Linked DNA regions of Cricetulus griseus. The protein of the gene in region 1 purifies or fractionates together with the protein of each later gene. This does not show direct contact. Links are inferred from orthologs where the notes say so. Each region holds a gene or a part of one and is shown on either strand. Other genes may lie near its edges.

Region 1 (4,248 bases):
AAAAATAAGTATGCATACATATGTATTTGATAGTCTATTAAAGGTGTGGTGGTGGCACACACCTTTAATCCCAGCACTCGGGAGACAGAGGCAGGCGGATCTCTATGAGTTTGAGACCAGCCTGGTCTACAAGATCTAGTTCCAGGACAGCCTCCAAAGCCACAGAGAAACCCTGTCTCGGAAAAATAAATAAATAAATAAATAAATAAATAAATGGGAAAAAAATCAGTAAATGAGTTAATAAGACCATGGTAACAAGATATCGTGGTTATAGCTCATTTAACAGCAATGTAATTTTAAACATCTTTGAATTTGTATGATATATATTAGTTCAGTTATTACTGTAAAAGAGTAAGCATAGGGTGTTTTTAAAGAAGTATAGTTGAGGGTTGGGGATGCAGCCCAGTGAGTAGAGAGGGTGGAGACACAGTGTTGCAAGGTATTTGATTACATTGTGTAAAGATATGTCACTGTGTTTTAATAAATATTAAATGACCAACAGCTATGTAGAAGGTATAGGTGGGACTTCTGGACAGAGAGAACTCTGGGAAGAAGGGGGAGTCACAGCTGGACTCAGAAGAAGCATGACGTGTAGGAGGAGAGGTAAAAACCATAAACTACATGGCAGCACGATGATTAACAGAAATGGGTTAAGTCATAAGAGCTAGTTAGAAACAACCCTCAGCTAAGGCCAAGTTTTCATAATAAGAAGTCTCACTATTTGGGAGCTAGCAGTACAGAGAAGACTTGCCACATGGCAGCTCAGTAAGTAGAGGTAGAGTGATTTCTAAAATGCACACCACCTTGCCTTCTACCCCTGCATCTCATAAACTGGGCATGGGCTTGTAATCTTAGCAGGAGGTCTTCGTTGGCAACACAGTTGAATTCCAGGCCAGATTGGGACACATAAGATTCTGTCTCAAAACGCAAACATGCTTGTGATGACTTATGCTTCACTACCAATTTTACTGGACTTAGAAATGATGATGGAAACACACCTCTGTATTTCTATAATGGTGTTTCCATAAAGGGTTAACCCAGGAGGGAAGACCCACCCTGAATGCAAACTGAGCTATTTCATGGGTTGGAGTTCTAAGGGAACTAACTAAAAAGGAGAAAGTGAGCTGAGCCCCAGCATTCATCTCCTGCTTCCTGACCGAGGAGGAACTGTGACTAGCCACTTCATGCTCCTGCTGCCATACCTTCAAAGTATAAGAAAATAAACTCCTCCTTCCTTGTGTTGTTTTTGTTAAGTATGTGGTCATTGCAACAAGTCCACATTTCTAGTTCCTTATTCCCAACACAAATACAAATATTTGTAAATGTTGTTTTTGATATTTTTTTCTGGGATAGGGTTTCTCTGTGTAGCTTTGTAGACCAGACTGGCCTTGAACTCAGAGATCTGCCTGCCTCTGCCTCTGGAGTGCTGGGATTAAAGGCGTGTGCCACCACTGCTGGGCTTGTAAAGTCTTAATATTTATTTACTAATTAATCAGAGAAATCTTATTTTACCTGTTTCTTTTCCTTAAAGTCAACAATATGATTGATGGCAACAACTGAATATCCAACTGAAAAAAAAATAGATTATTTAAAAAATATTCTTTCTTGTTCAAGAGTATGAGATGAGGTTAGGGATGTAGCTAAGTGTTAGAATGCTTGCTTAGCATACACAAAGCCCTGGATTCTGTTTCTAGACTTGGAAAGTAAGAGGGTTTAATAATATTTACTGTTATGTTTCAGGTTGTTCATCTGTCAAGTGATGTTAACAGCAGACAGCACTTCAGAGTGTCATGAAAATTAAGCATTTTAGAAGAGTGCCAGGCACATATTTAGGCTGTGATTTATGCTAGCAAAACACTAAAAACACCTTGTTTCTGCTTTCCAAACAATATTCTCAGGATTTCCTGCCCCTTTGTTCATTTTTATTCCATCAAGTTTATGTGTCTTTCCGTCACCTTCATTATCATTCATTTCTTCTGCGATGCTCTATTTCCTCCCTTACCCGAAGGTGCAATGGAAGGACGAATCCCTTACACCTCTTTTGAGGTGCTCTACAGTAAAAGACAGGGAAAACGACGGTTTGCCTTATCCTCACAACAGTTAGCACTGCTTGGAAAAGTGCCTCTGTCGCCAACACATCTAAATCACGACTCTTGTCTTTAAGTTGTCTAAAGACCAACAAGATGATAGAGTATTAATATAAAAGATAGTGCATGGTAATGGCAAACTAGTCTAATAACTCCCGAGTTCAAGCTATTAGAGCATCCATTATTTGACAGACCCTATGGCAGGCGACAGCACACATGATTAATGCTCATCCCCAAGGAACTTAAAACTCGGGAGAAATAAGGTAACACCCTCCCCATTCTCTAAGAGTCCACAGCAGTTCCTGCCTGCGACCCAGCTTTCTGTATTTGTCAGATGTCGTCGGGGCCCAAAAGGACTGACGTTAAAAGCACCCACCGGCTTAGGGGACTGTACACCTGGAGTCCAGTCCCAGAGCCTACCATTCATCAGCTCACAGCCCCCTTGCCAACACCTCGACCCCTTTGGCCTCTGTTCTCTCCCTCCGCACGGAAAGACTGTGCAAGCCCAGGCAACGGCAGCTTCCTCAGTAGCCTGTGAGTTTCACACGCCAGGGATCCGGGAGACATAGCAACTACCATTTGCCTCTAGGGAAATGCCGCAATCCCACGAGAGACCCAATAATAGGGCCTGGAAAAACTACCAAGCAAACCGGTGGTATGGGGGCAGCGAGGGGCCGGGCTCGCGGGGCGAAGCCAGTAGACTCACGGTGAGCAGCGGTCTCCACCAGTCCCCGAAGAGCCTTCAAGTCCGAGCCCGCTCTTAGGTCCAAATCTGCGAACGCCGCCATGCTGACGTCCCAGGAGCACCCGCGCGCCAATCTGCGCAGTCGCCCTGTTATTCCTCGAGCATGCTGGGAGTTGTAGGCTGTCACTTTGGCATCCTGGGATTTGTGGTTTTTCCCTTCTCAGTCGTCTACTCTCTGCACAGTATTTCCTGTCCTCTAGAAACCAGCCAAAGTTAGTGTGCTCGAACCTACAGCCTCACTTACTCCCTTTTTGTCGTGATTTGAACGAGAATGTTTGGTAGACACAGTAGGGTCTTTCCCCCCGCCCCTCTCGCCAATACAACAGAGTAGAAAGTGATTCATTCTAAACACACCCATAGAGCATTTTGAGATCAAGCAGACGTCTAAGGTCGTGAAGCCCTGTTCCAAGAGCTGGGTGAGCCTGGGGTGGTGGCCCACGCCTTCAGTTCCAGCAATTGGAGGGCTGAGGCAACTCTATGAGTTTGAGGCCATCCTGATCTACACGGTGACATCCAGGCCAGAGAGGGATACATAAGTCTCCAAAGTAGGTAAGTTGATAAGCACATGAAGAGACATGGGAAAATGTTTTTCTTTCCTTTCTCTAATGTCCATTCCATTCTTTGAAAATGGGCTTAAAAGCCTCTTTGAAGCGCTTGCTCTGGGGCGGATTGTTTTAGTTCTTTGGGCTAAGCCTAAGATAATGGGTCTCTGTTATAGAAACATCTACAACCACAAGATGGCAGGGCACTCTCAAAGATGAAAGCTTAGCGACAATACACAAATTTTCATGAGACATATTGCAATATCATTTGATGTTTCTACTTTAAAAATTAACTTTTGAATATTGGCAGATCAATTATCCGACGGCATAAAATGCTGGCATTCTTTTTAATCCACTTGATGCAGAAGGGCAGTTCTTTACTCCTTTCCATTCTGTCTCTGGCTGGCTAGCATGGGAATCCTTTATGCATTACCAATAAGCTGCCCCAGCCTCCTGCAGCTCAGTAATATGATATCTGAACTGCTGGGTTCTCAAATAAGAAAAGTCTATCGATCAGTAGGACTTGACCATTAGGACAATAACGAAGTGCTGAAAAGGTTTAGAAACATTTCAATTTCTGTACTGATTGCAAACAGTATGAGGACTTCCCCTCTGATCACACTTTGAGTAATACTCTTCAACATAATGGTCTCTAATTTCTTACTGATTTTTGAGAGAATATTTATTATTATTATTATTGTTATTTTGAAACAGGTTATTGTTAGTAGCCCAGGGTGGGCTCAAATTCACAATCTTCTTGTCTCAGAATCCCGAGCGTTGGGATCACAGCTGTGCTTTGCCACACCTAGCTTTGGTTAATTTACATAAAGAAAAAAATTGTTGTTTTGTTTGGTATTTCCCCCAAACAAAACAA
Region 2 (4,342 bases), on another chromosome or scaffold:
TCTGTGTGTCTGTGTGTGTTTTTGTTTGTTTGTTTTTCAGGAACGGGTTTTCTCTGTGTAGCTCTGGCTGTCCTTGAAATGAGACAGCTTCTTGCTTCTCCCTCCCACGTGCCGGGATTAAAGGCAAGCTCCACACAGCCTGGCAGAATATGCTCTCTTTATGAGCCACATGTGAAGCTTCAGCCCAACTGACAAAGCTTGCTGACATACCCAGATAGAATCTGTAACATTCACTTATGAAATAGGCTGAGCACACTGAACAGGGCAGAGAAGCAAGAACAAGAGAGGTTTCAGGCACAGGCTGTCACTGTCATTCCCTACAGAGTGGGAGATGACATGAAATCAAGGAATCCAAGTCCCTCAGAGTGACTCTGGTACCCTAGGAAAGGAGCCTGGCACAAGAAGACATCAGCACTAAAGACCTTGATGGGGCCTAATGTACTGAATGTAAAGATGAGAAGTAATCCATGGGAAGGACAGCTAGACCAGACTCTGAGCCATCTTTGTTGCCACGTCTCCTGCTCCCAGCCCACCTTTCAAAGATTGTACCTGTACATCGTGCTCTTTGGCTTCTTTATGAGAAAGGGCATGGTAAATCACAGCTGGGGGATAAAAGACAAAAAGAGAAGATTACTTCCTGTGAGGAGTGAGTATAATATCCAAGGCTTTTCCAACTATGACTTCTGAATAAGCACTCTTATTCAGATGAGGACTACTGGGTTAGTATGAAAAGGCAAAGCTTTCTTGGATGATCCTTCTATTATACTCTGCAGTGCCAGGAGATTAAACTCAGTGGGGTTTAATGCAGGGCAGGCTTCACCATGGATCCATGCCCCCGACCCTACTCAATGCGGCTTATTTACACATTTATTTAAAGACAGGCTTTCAGTTTGTATCCTGGGCTGGCTTAGAGTTCGCTATATAGCCCACAGTGGCCTTAAACCCTCAGTACTCCTGTCTTAGGCACCCAAGTGCTAGTTGCTGGATTATACACGTGTACCACCACAATTATCCCAGATACATTTTACTCTTCCCTTGGCCAGAGATTTGTCCTGGAAATTCCCAGGATGAGGTTTAAAAGAGCACCTCTCAAAGCTTAACTTGTTTAAGAATCACTGGACTCTTATAAAGACACCGGTTTTAATTTCTACTCTAGACTCTGCATGTCCAAAAAAATTCCTCAATGGTGCACATTGATTGATTGAAAATACAAGTTATAATTATGCTTGGGTGGTTGCTCACTTAGTAGTGAAGACACTAAAAGTGAGGTGATATTAATGGCTAGGGTGTGGTTGATTGAAACTGAACAATTTGCAGAGTACAAGAAGTTTAAAACAGATTTTTAAGTCTTTAATCCATAAAATTGGAATGTACCCTGACCAGATAGATACAACAGTCTTTCTTCAAATTCTAAATATGTCCAGCATGATGCCAAACTTTCTCTAAACCTCATGCTCCTGTTTGGTATTTGTTTGGAGGAAACCACCATGGTGGTGGGGGCAGAGTACAGGAATAAAGGAGATAAGAAAGAGCAAATGACCAGAATATGTAGCTCACACTACACCCTATACACTCAGTCTCTGAGCTGGGTGTGGTGGCACACACAGTTGATCCCATCACTTCAGAGGGTGAGGCAGCCTAGCTTACATAGTGAGTCCCAGCTCAGTCAGGACTACATAGCTGACCTCATCCCAACAGCTACAATAACAAACCAACAAACAAAAGCCCATGTCTGTTCTCTTGTGCTTCCCTGGGTACATGTCTGACCAGAGAGTTACCAGTTTTACATACAAAATCTTTAGTTCTCCCTTGAACTGCAGATTAAGACTATACTTTGTTTCTTGAGGAAAATGTGCAGGGCCTGGGACCCCAGGAATAATGTTGCTTTACCTACTGCAGATGCCTAGCATGAGAGCTGGAAGACTTCCTGCTGCAGTACACATGTGACAGCTCTGGTACACTCAGTGCTTGTCAAGTACTTGTTTTACAGCAACACATACATGCATACATACATGCATACATAAGTACATATATATACTCATAGGTGTGTATATAATTTATTTCAATCTCATTAACCTTTCTAAGCCATTCGGAATATAATTATTTCCTTGTATGCACATAATAATATTGACATTGAGTCATGCCAAGGCATCAGAGGATGAAAGGACACAGCAGGGGTGGAAATCATTAGATCAGAGGCTTAATCTTTACATTGTGCTCTCTCTGCTCTAATACCGCTCCAGTGCTTGCTTCCCTTCCTGGCTCATCCCTTTTCTGCTCAAATACCAACGCCTTAGGTTTGTGACACTGCGCCCGGGAAGCTTTTTATAAGAGAAAGGGTGAAAAGCCAGGATGTGGAAGGGAGCAATAGTTATACAGGCAGGCAGTGGTCAGGACAAGCTAAAGGCCTTGGCTGCACCTCTTCCAGTTCTCCTGAGCGTCACCAGTTCCCTGGGGTACCACACACTCATCCTGACATCTATTCCAGCTTAGAGACTGAGTTGGCCGATTCACACTCTGGGCCTCGACTGCTTTTGTGTACTGAGTCAGTTGCCTGGAAGTTGTCTCGGGACTCTGTTGTGACAGGATCCCTGATTCGGCTTCCATTCCCGACCCTCTATGCTGTCATCCACCCCGATTTCGAATCTCTCGTGACACTGACCCTTCATTGTCGGCGGCTTCCCGCGAGCTCTGGTGAAGTCTCCTTCGGGCCTCGCTCACTGCTTCCCTTTATTAGCTCTCTTCAGCAGCTTTCGGCCACCGGGACTCTTTCTGGTTGAAATTTCCGCTGGACAAATCCGCTGTGCCCAAGAAACGACGCGGGCACAGTCCACACACAGACTCGCTCCAGTACTTCAATGGACCCCGATCTGACTTCCGCTATGGCGCCTCGCGTGACGTCATGGAGCCGCGCCGGCCTCTGGCGGACATGCGCCTTGTGTTTGGCTCTGCAGCCGAGGGAGGGGCGAGGGAGGCGGCCGCGTCTGTGGCTGGCGGAGCGGAGCCTGTTTTTCGCTGTCTCTTCAGTTGGTGTCGCCCCCTGGCGGCCACAGTCGGGTTGCGGGTCAGAACACAGGAACACAGGAGGCGAGCTGTCCTGAAGAGGACGCCAGGGAGACTGGGGCCAGGAAGGCCCGAATGCGCCTGAAATAGCGGAGGTAATGGCTGCAGTGAGGGTTTAGGAGTCCTTTGGAGTTTTGTTTTCCCTTCAGTTTTCCCTGACAGGGTTTCCACTGTTTAACAGCGCTGCCCGACCTGGAACTCACTCTGTAGACCAGGCAGCCTCAAACTCAGAGATCCTCCTGCCTCTGCCTCCTGCGTGCTGGATTAAAGGCAACTGCCACAACCCTCAGTTTTATTTATTTATTTATTTATTTATTTATTTATTTATTTATTTATTTATTTATTTTTTAAGCAAGGGAGTCAATGCCCATGGCTGTCCTAGAATTCATTCACAGTATTACTAGTCACATTGTGTAATGATGATGGGGATTTACATCTGTTTCAGCTACTAAGTACTTTTATCACCTCGTTTAAGGGTCTGTTTCCTATGACTGAAAAGAGAGAGTAACTTTAGCTGGCTTTGGTCTCAGAACACTTGCTTTTTAAATTTATTTTTCTCCTCTAAAGACAAAGTCTCCCTGAGTAGCCCAGACATTTGCTATGTAGCCTAGGCTGATCTTGGAAATGGAGTATTCCTGTGTAGGCTTCCCTTCCTGCATCCAACCCAAAAAGCATCCTTGAGACTGGGAGAATTGGTGCTGTCAGTATGATAAAAGACAAAAAGTGATTCTCTGGAATCCAAAGGTCCAGCCAAGCCTGCTCAGGTTGCCTTGGTTCTGTCCAGACACTGCCTTTAATTTCCTGAGTGCTGGATCTAACTTGGAGGGTGGGTAAGGGAAAGCAGTGGTTTTCTTAATAGTGAGCACTATGCAACCTTTTAAAGGCAAAAAGAATTCTCAGAAAAACTTGGGCAAACAACACCGCATCCTTGTTTAAGAAACATAGGCTTTGTAGATCTTTGGGTGATAAGTGTGTGCCATTTTGATCTTAAGCAGTACAGGACATGGTAAGGCACATAGGATTTAGAGTTTGGGGACAGCCTGATAACAGCAGGATGGTCACTAAATGTGTTTCCTTTACAAAGGCCTGCAACTATTTTAGCATCTATCAGAGTGTATTTGAGAAAGTGCCCTTGAAAGCTCATAACATGTGAACTCCATAATGTACACCTGATCACTTGTTTGAGACAGAGTCTCCCTCTGTAGGCCTGGCTGTCTGAGAACTGGCTATGTACATCAATTGGCTACAAACTCACAGAGATCCCCCTGCCTCTATCTCA
Region 3 (3,502 bases), on another chromosome or scaffold:
AATGGGGGGGGGGCGGACTGGAGATGGCTCAGCAGTTAAGAGCACTGGCTGCTGTTTCAGAGGTCCTGGGTTCAATTCTCAGCACACACATGGCAGCTCACAATTGTATGTAACTCCAGCTCCAGGAAATCTGTCATCTTCACACCAATGAACATAAATTATTAAAAAAGAATGCCAATGAGGTAAACCCTCTACACCCCATTTTACAGATGGGAGCACAAAGGTCCAGGAAGTAGCTTTATCCAAAACTACAAAGCAGTAACTTGTGAGTGGGAGAGCCAGGACTAAAACCGTGACAGGCAAAGCCCGAGTTCATGATCCCACTATTCTAAAACATATGACACAGATGGGAGAAATGCCTGACCTGGTTGAGTCCCAAGCCAGCTTAAAGCAGGTGGCAAAAAGTCATGCAGGTGACTGCTTGAAATGTATTGACACCAGATCCACCCAGCAGCGGCCTCTACCTACCCTTCTGGCCTCCAGGCCATGAGCTCCGGGGCAAGGCGGGCCTCACACCCCTCCAATCCCACTTACACACAAGCAGGCCAAACAAATGGGCATGACCTTTATTTCCCTCTCCTAGACTGATGTCAAAAAAGGCAAGTCAGATATACTGTAGACAGAGTAAGCCCTTCTCAAGCAGTCTGTAACTCAGCACTGACCCCATATGCCCTTCATTCTTCATAGCATCCCGCATCCCAGGGGGGAGGGGAGGCAGGACTCCAGTGGACTCAAGCCTTGCTGGCATGTTAAGTGTCACACAAGCCCTTCTTACAGAAGGCACAGAGAATCAGGTCTAGAGTACAGTCAGGCTCAGCAGGTCTTCAGGACCGGGTGTCCCGAGCCCTTCTTCGGGGTCTGGGACCACAGCTAGGTATGGAGCCCAGGCCTGGGGGCGCTCCCGGGGGTTGGTAGCCACATTCACTGGGGTCCAAGGGGTCCCGACTGAGTAGCACCCACACTGCAGGCACGTGACGTCGAACTGTGAGGGGGTCTAGGCCTGTGTCTGGTGAGGTTGGGACCCAGCTGTCCTCAGTTTGCAGGAAACGAAGCTTGGTGAGTTGGTGGAGGCCTGGGACCCGCCGTTTGACAATCTCTGCACAGCTGACAGCCTTCCCAGCTGCCCGGCCAGAGCCTGAGAACACCACATGCCTTGTGCTCCCCCCCTCCAAACGACCCAAAGCCAGTCCTAGCAGGTTTCGGATTTTGCTCCCATCTCGGACTCGCATTTCCAGGGTGTCAGGAGGTAGCTGGGGCATTGGTGAAGATGCTGGGAGCTCTACAGAGCCAGCCCTCCGGTAGTGTTCCATTCTGCTCCGGTGGCCTTGGTGAATCTCTCTTGCTGTGCACTGGGGGAAGCGGTCAGATGAGTGTCAGGACTATGACCAGGTCCATCCTCCATCACTCCCTCCAGGATATACCCCTCACCCCAAGGCTGGAGAGTCTTACACACGGAAAGAACCAAACTCCCCCCACTCCCCAAACCAGGCTATCCGGGATAGGGCCATGCTTCATCAGCTCAAGCTTTTCAGGGCTAGGCCAGACCCCTCCTCACCCACAACTCTCTAAAACAGGAGCCTTTCCTCACTAGGCTTCCAAGGACTCGGACAAGCTCCTCTCACTGTGTGCTTCCAGGAAACAGAATCAAGACTTGGCCCCAGGCTGCCTGGGGCACAGCCACGAACTCTCACAAAGTACTCCCTAAAGAAAGAACCGGCCCCTCCGGGCTCTCGGCCGGCTGAGTAGACTTCATCCTTAGATTACCAGGGTTGGGGGGCTTGAGCCAGGCCATTCGGGAACTCGAGAGTGGGGGCTCGCACAGACCACTGCTCGGACCAAACATGGACGGTCTGGCGGGCTCCCCGGTCGTGGGCCGCTGTCCCAGGCAGCAGACATCCCCTTTCCCCACGTCTGAGTACCCAGGCCCTGGGATTTGGCTCTTACCACTACCGCCCGTCCACGCTCGACCCAAGATGGCGCGCAGACCGGGAGCGCACGGGGCCGCGGGAGCGCGCACGCAGGGGGCGGGGCCTGAGGGAAACCCGGGACGCCGTTGGGCTCAGCTGAGCTGGTACCCGCAGCTGGCCCGCATCCCGCGGTCCGCGGTGATGCCGAAGCACGCCAGAACCCGCAGAGGGCCCTGCCCGGGAGAGGAATGGCTATCGGAGGAGTCCTGAGCATGAAGAATGCGAATCTGTGCCCTTAAACGATGGATGGTGCGCGTCACCTGTTGACTCACCGCATCGGTGAAGGAGAAGCTGAAGCATTGGTGGATACAAGCGGGCGAGACCCTTAGTTCTGAGCTTTGTTCTCATCCTGGGGCACTGGACAACCCTGGTAGTCTTCAGAAGGGACTAAGCCATAACTTGTGCACAACTCATTGGCCATAGATTGGCGTATAGGCTAGGAGGATCCGGTAGTGGGGGCAACAGATACCGTGACCTTGGGAAGGGTCTGTACCCTGCACCATCATAACGCGTCAGGCGCGGGGGTAGGAGGGTGCCCACGGAACCTAGTACAGTACTCAGAGTGAAACAGGTTCTGCAACATCTGTCCAACATGTTGATTAACCACCGAAATGGCAAGAATTGAGAAGAGATTAATTAACTTGGTAAAAACTCGTAGGAAGTTCTGGGAAAGAGCCGGGAACTATTTGTTGGAATAGTCTAGGATGACTGCTAGTTTCAGATCGTTTTGGACAAGCTGCATTTTGCGTGCCAGCAAAACTACAAATTGGTTGGTCTACAGGCAGTTGAAGGAGCCGAGGCACTCCCTCAGGCCACAAGAGGGCAGCATACACTTGGTGGAGCGCGGTGCTTAAACTGTTCATCCAAGCTTTCCCATCATCTGCTCCTCCTTCCCAGATCCTAAAATTCACTGCATCCAAGCCTCTTGGCTCCTCTTCTGGTATTCGGTAGACACAAGGCTATGCTGCCTTGGCTCTGAACGTCCCTGCTTGTTCCTCCATGATCATCCTGGCATGCTGAGCCCCACCTGGTAGGACTACCACTTTCTTGGTCTTCCCCCAAACCCTATACAGAAATGAGGTGACCCTACCTGTGCCCTCCTTACGTGCCGTAGGATCTGATATTTAGAGGGCAGTTGGAAAATGTGGGATAAATATACAATGCCCCACTGTATCAATCAGATGCAAGAGTACTACATCTTTCAGAAGCTCGACCAGGAGTAGTTCCAGGTCCCACCCTGATAGTGACAGCTCTCCCCTTCACCATTCCAGTTCTCACAGCCAAGCCCATCTTAGATCAGCAAGCCAAAACACACCTTCAGCGGTAGCTACAGTTTATTGTCATTGGAATAAATACACTGATGGGGAGTGCAAATCATGACTCTAAGGTAACCTGATCTCTGACCTCAGAGCCCCAACTGAGCAGACAGGTAGTCTTTGAATTGAATAAATACAAAGCTGTCTCTGCCTCACAAAGACAGGGTGGCACAGGGCCCTGGAGCTGGCCCCCCTTTCCCTGGCCTGGCACAGTAAGCA

The links.
Region 2: the proteins of Rpp30 (region 1) and Pop4 purify together in Homo sapiens (affinity purification with mass spectrometry; 4 studies listed by BioGRID and IntAct, counting the BioPlex papers as one, with this or other methods). This does not show direct contact. The link is inferred for Cricetulus griseus from reciprocal best matches to the Homo sapiens genes RPP30 and POP4.
Region 3: the proteins of Rpp30 (region 1) and Rpp25l purify together in Homo sapiens (co-immunoprecipitation; 3 studies listed by BioGRID and IntAct, counting the BioPlex papers as one, with this or other methods). This does not show direct contact. The link is inferred for Cricetulus griseus from reciprocal best matches to the Homo sapiens genes RPP30 and RPP25L.

The regions. Positions count from the first base shown.
Region 1 is NC_048596.1:25,691,004-25,695,251, forward strand, and holds the start of Rpp30 (ribonuclease P protein subunit p30), read right to left. Parts: upstream 2,942-4,248; 5' UTR 2,876-2,941; coding exon 2,794-2,875; intron 1,569-2,793; coding exon 1,513-1,568; intron 1-1,512. UniProt on the Homo sapiens protein: Component of ribonuclease P, a ribonucleoprotein complex that generates mature tRNA molecules by cleaving their 5'-ends. Also a component of the MRP ribonuclease complex, which cleaves pre-rRNA sequences.
Region 2 is NC_048599.1:152,153,452-152,157,793, reverse strand, and holds the start of Pop4 (ribonuclease P protein subunit p29), read right to left. Parts: upstream 2,899-4,342; 5' UTR 2,670-2,898; coding exon 2,663-2,669; intron 603-2,662; coding exon 550-602; intron 1-549. UniProt on the Homo sapiens protein: Component of ribonuclease P, a ribonucleoprotein complex that generates mature tRNA molecules by cleaving their 5'-ends.
Region 3 is NC_048595.1:100,887,732-100,891,233, reverse strand, and holds Rpp25l (ribonuclease P protein subunit p25-like protein), read right to left. Parts: upstream 1,934-3,502; 5' UTR 1,897-1,933; coding exon 1,765-1,896; intron 1,749-1,764; exon of another isoform or gene 1,556-1,748; intron 1,350-1,555; coding exon 825-1,349; 3' UTR 552-824; downstream 1-551. UniProt on the Homo sapiens protein: May be a component of ribonuclease P or MRP.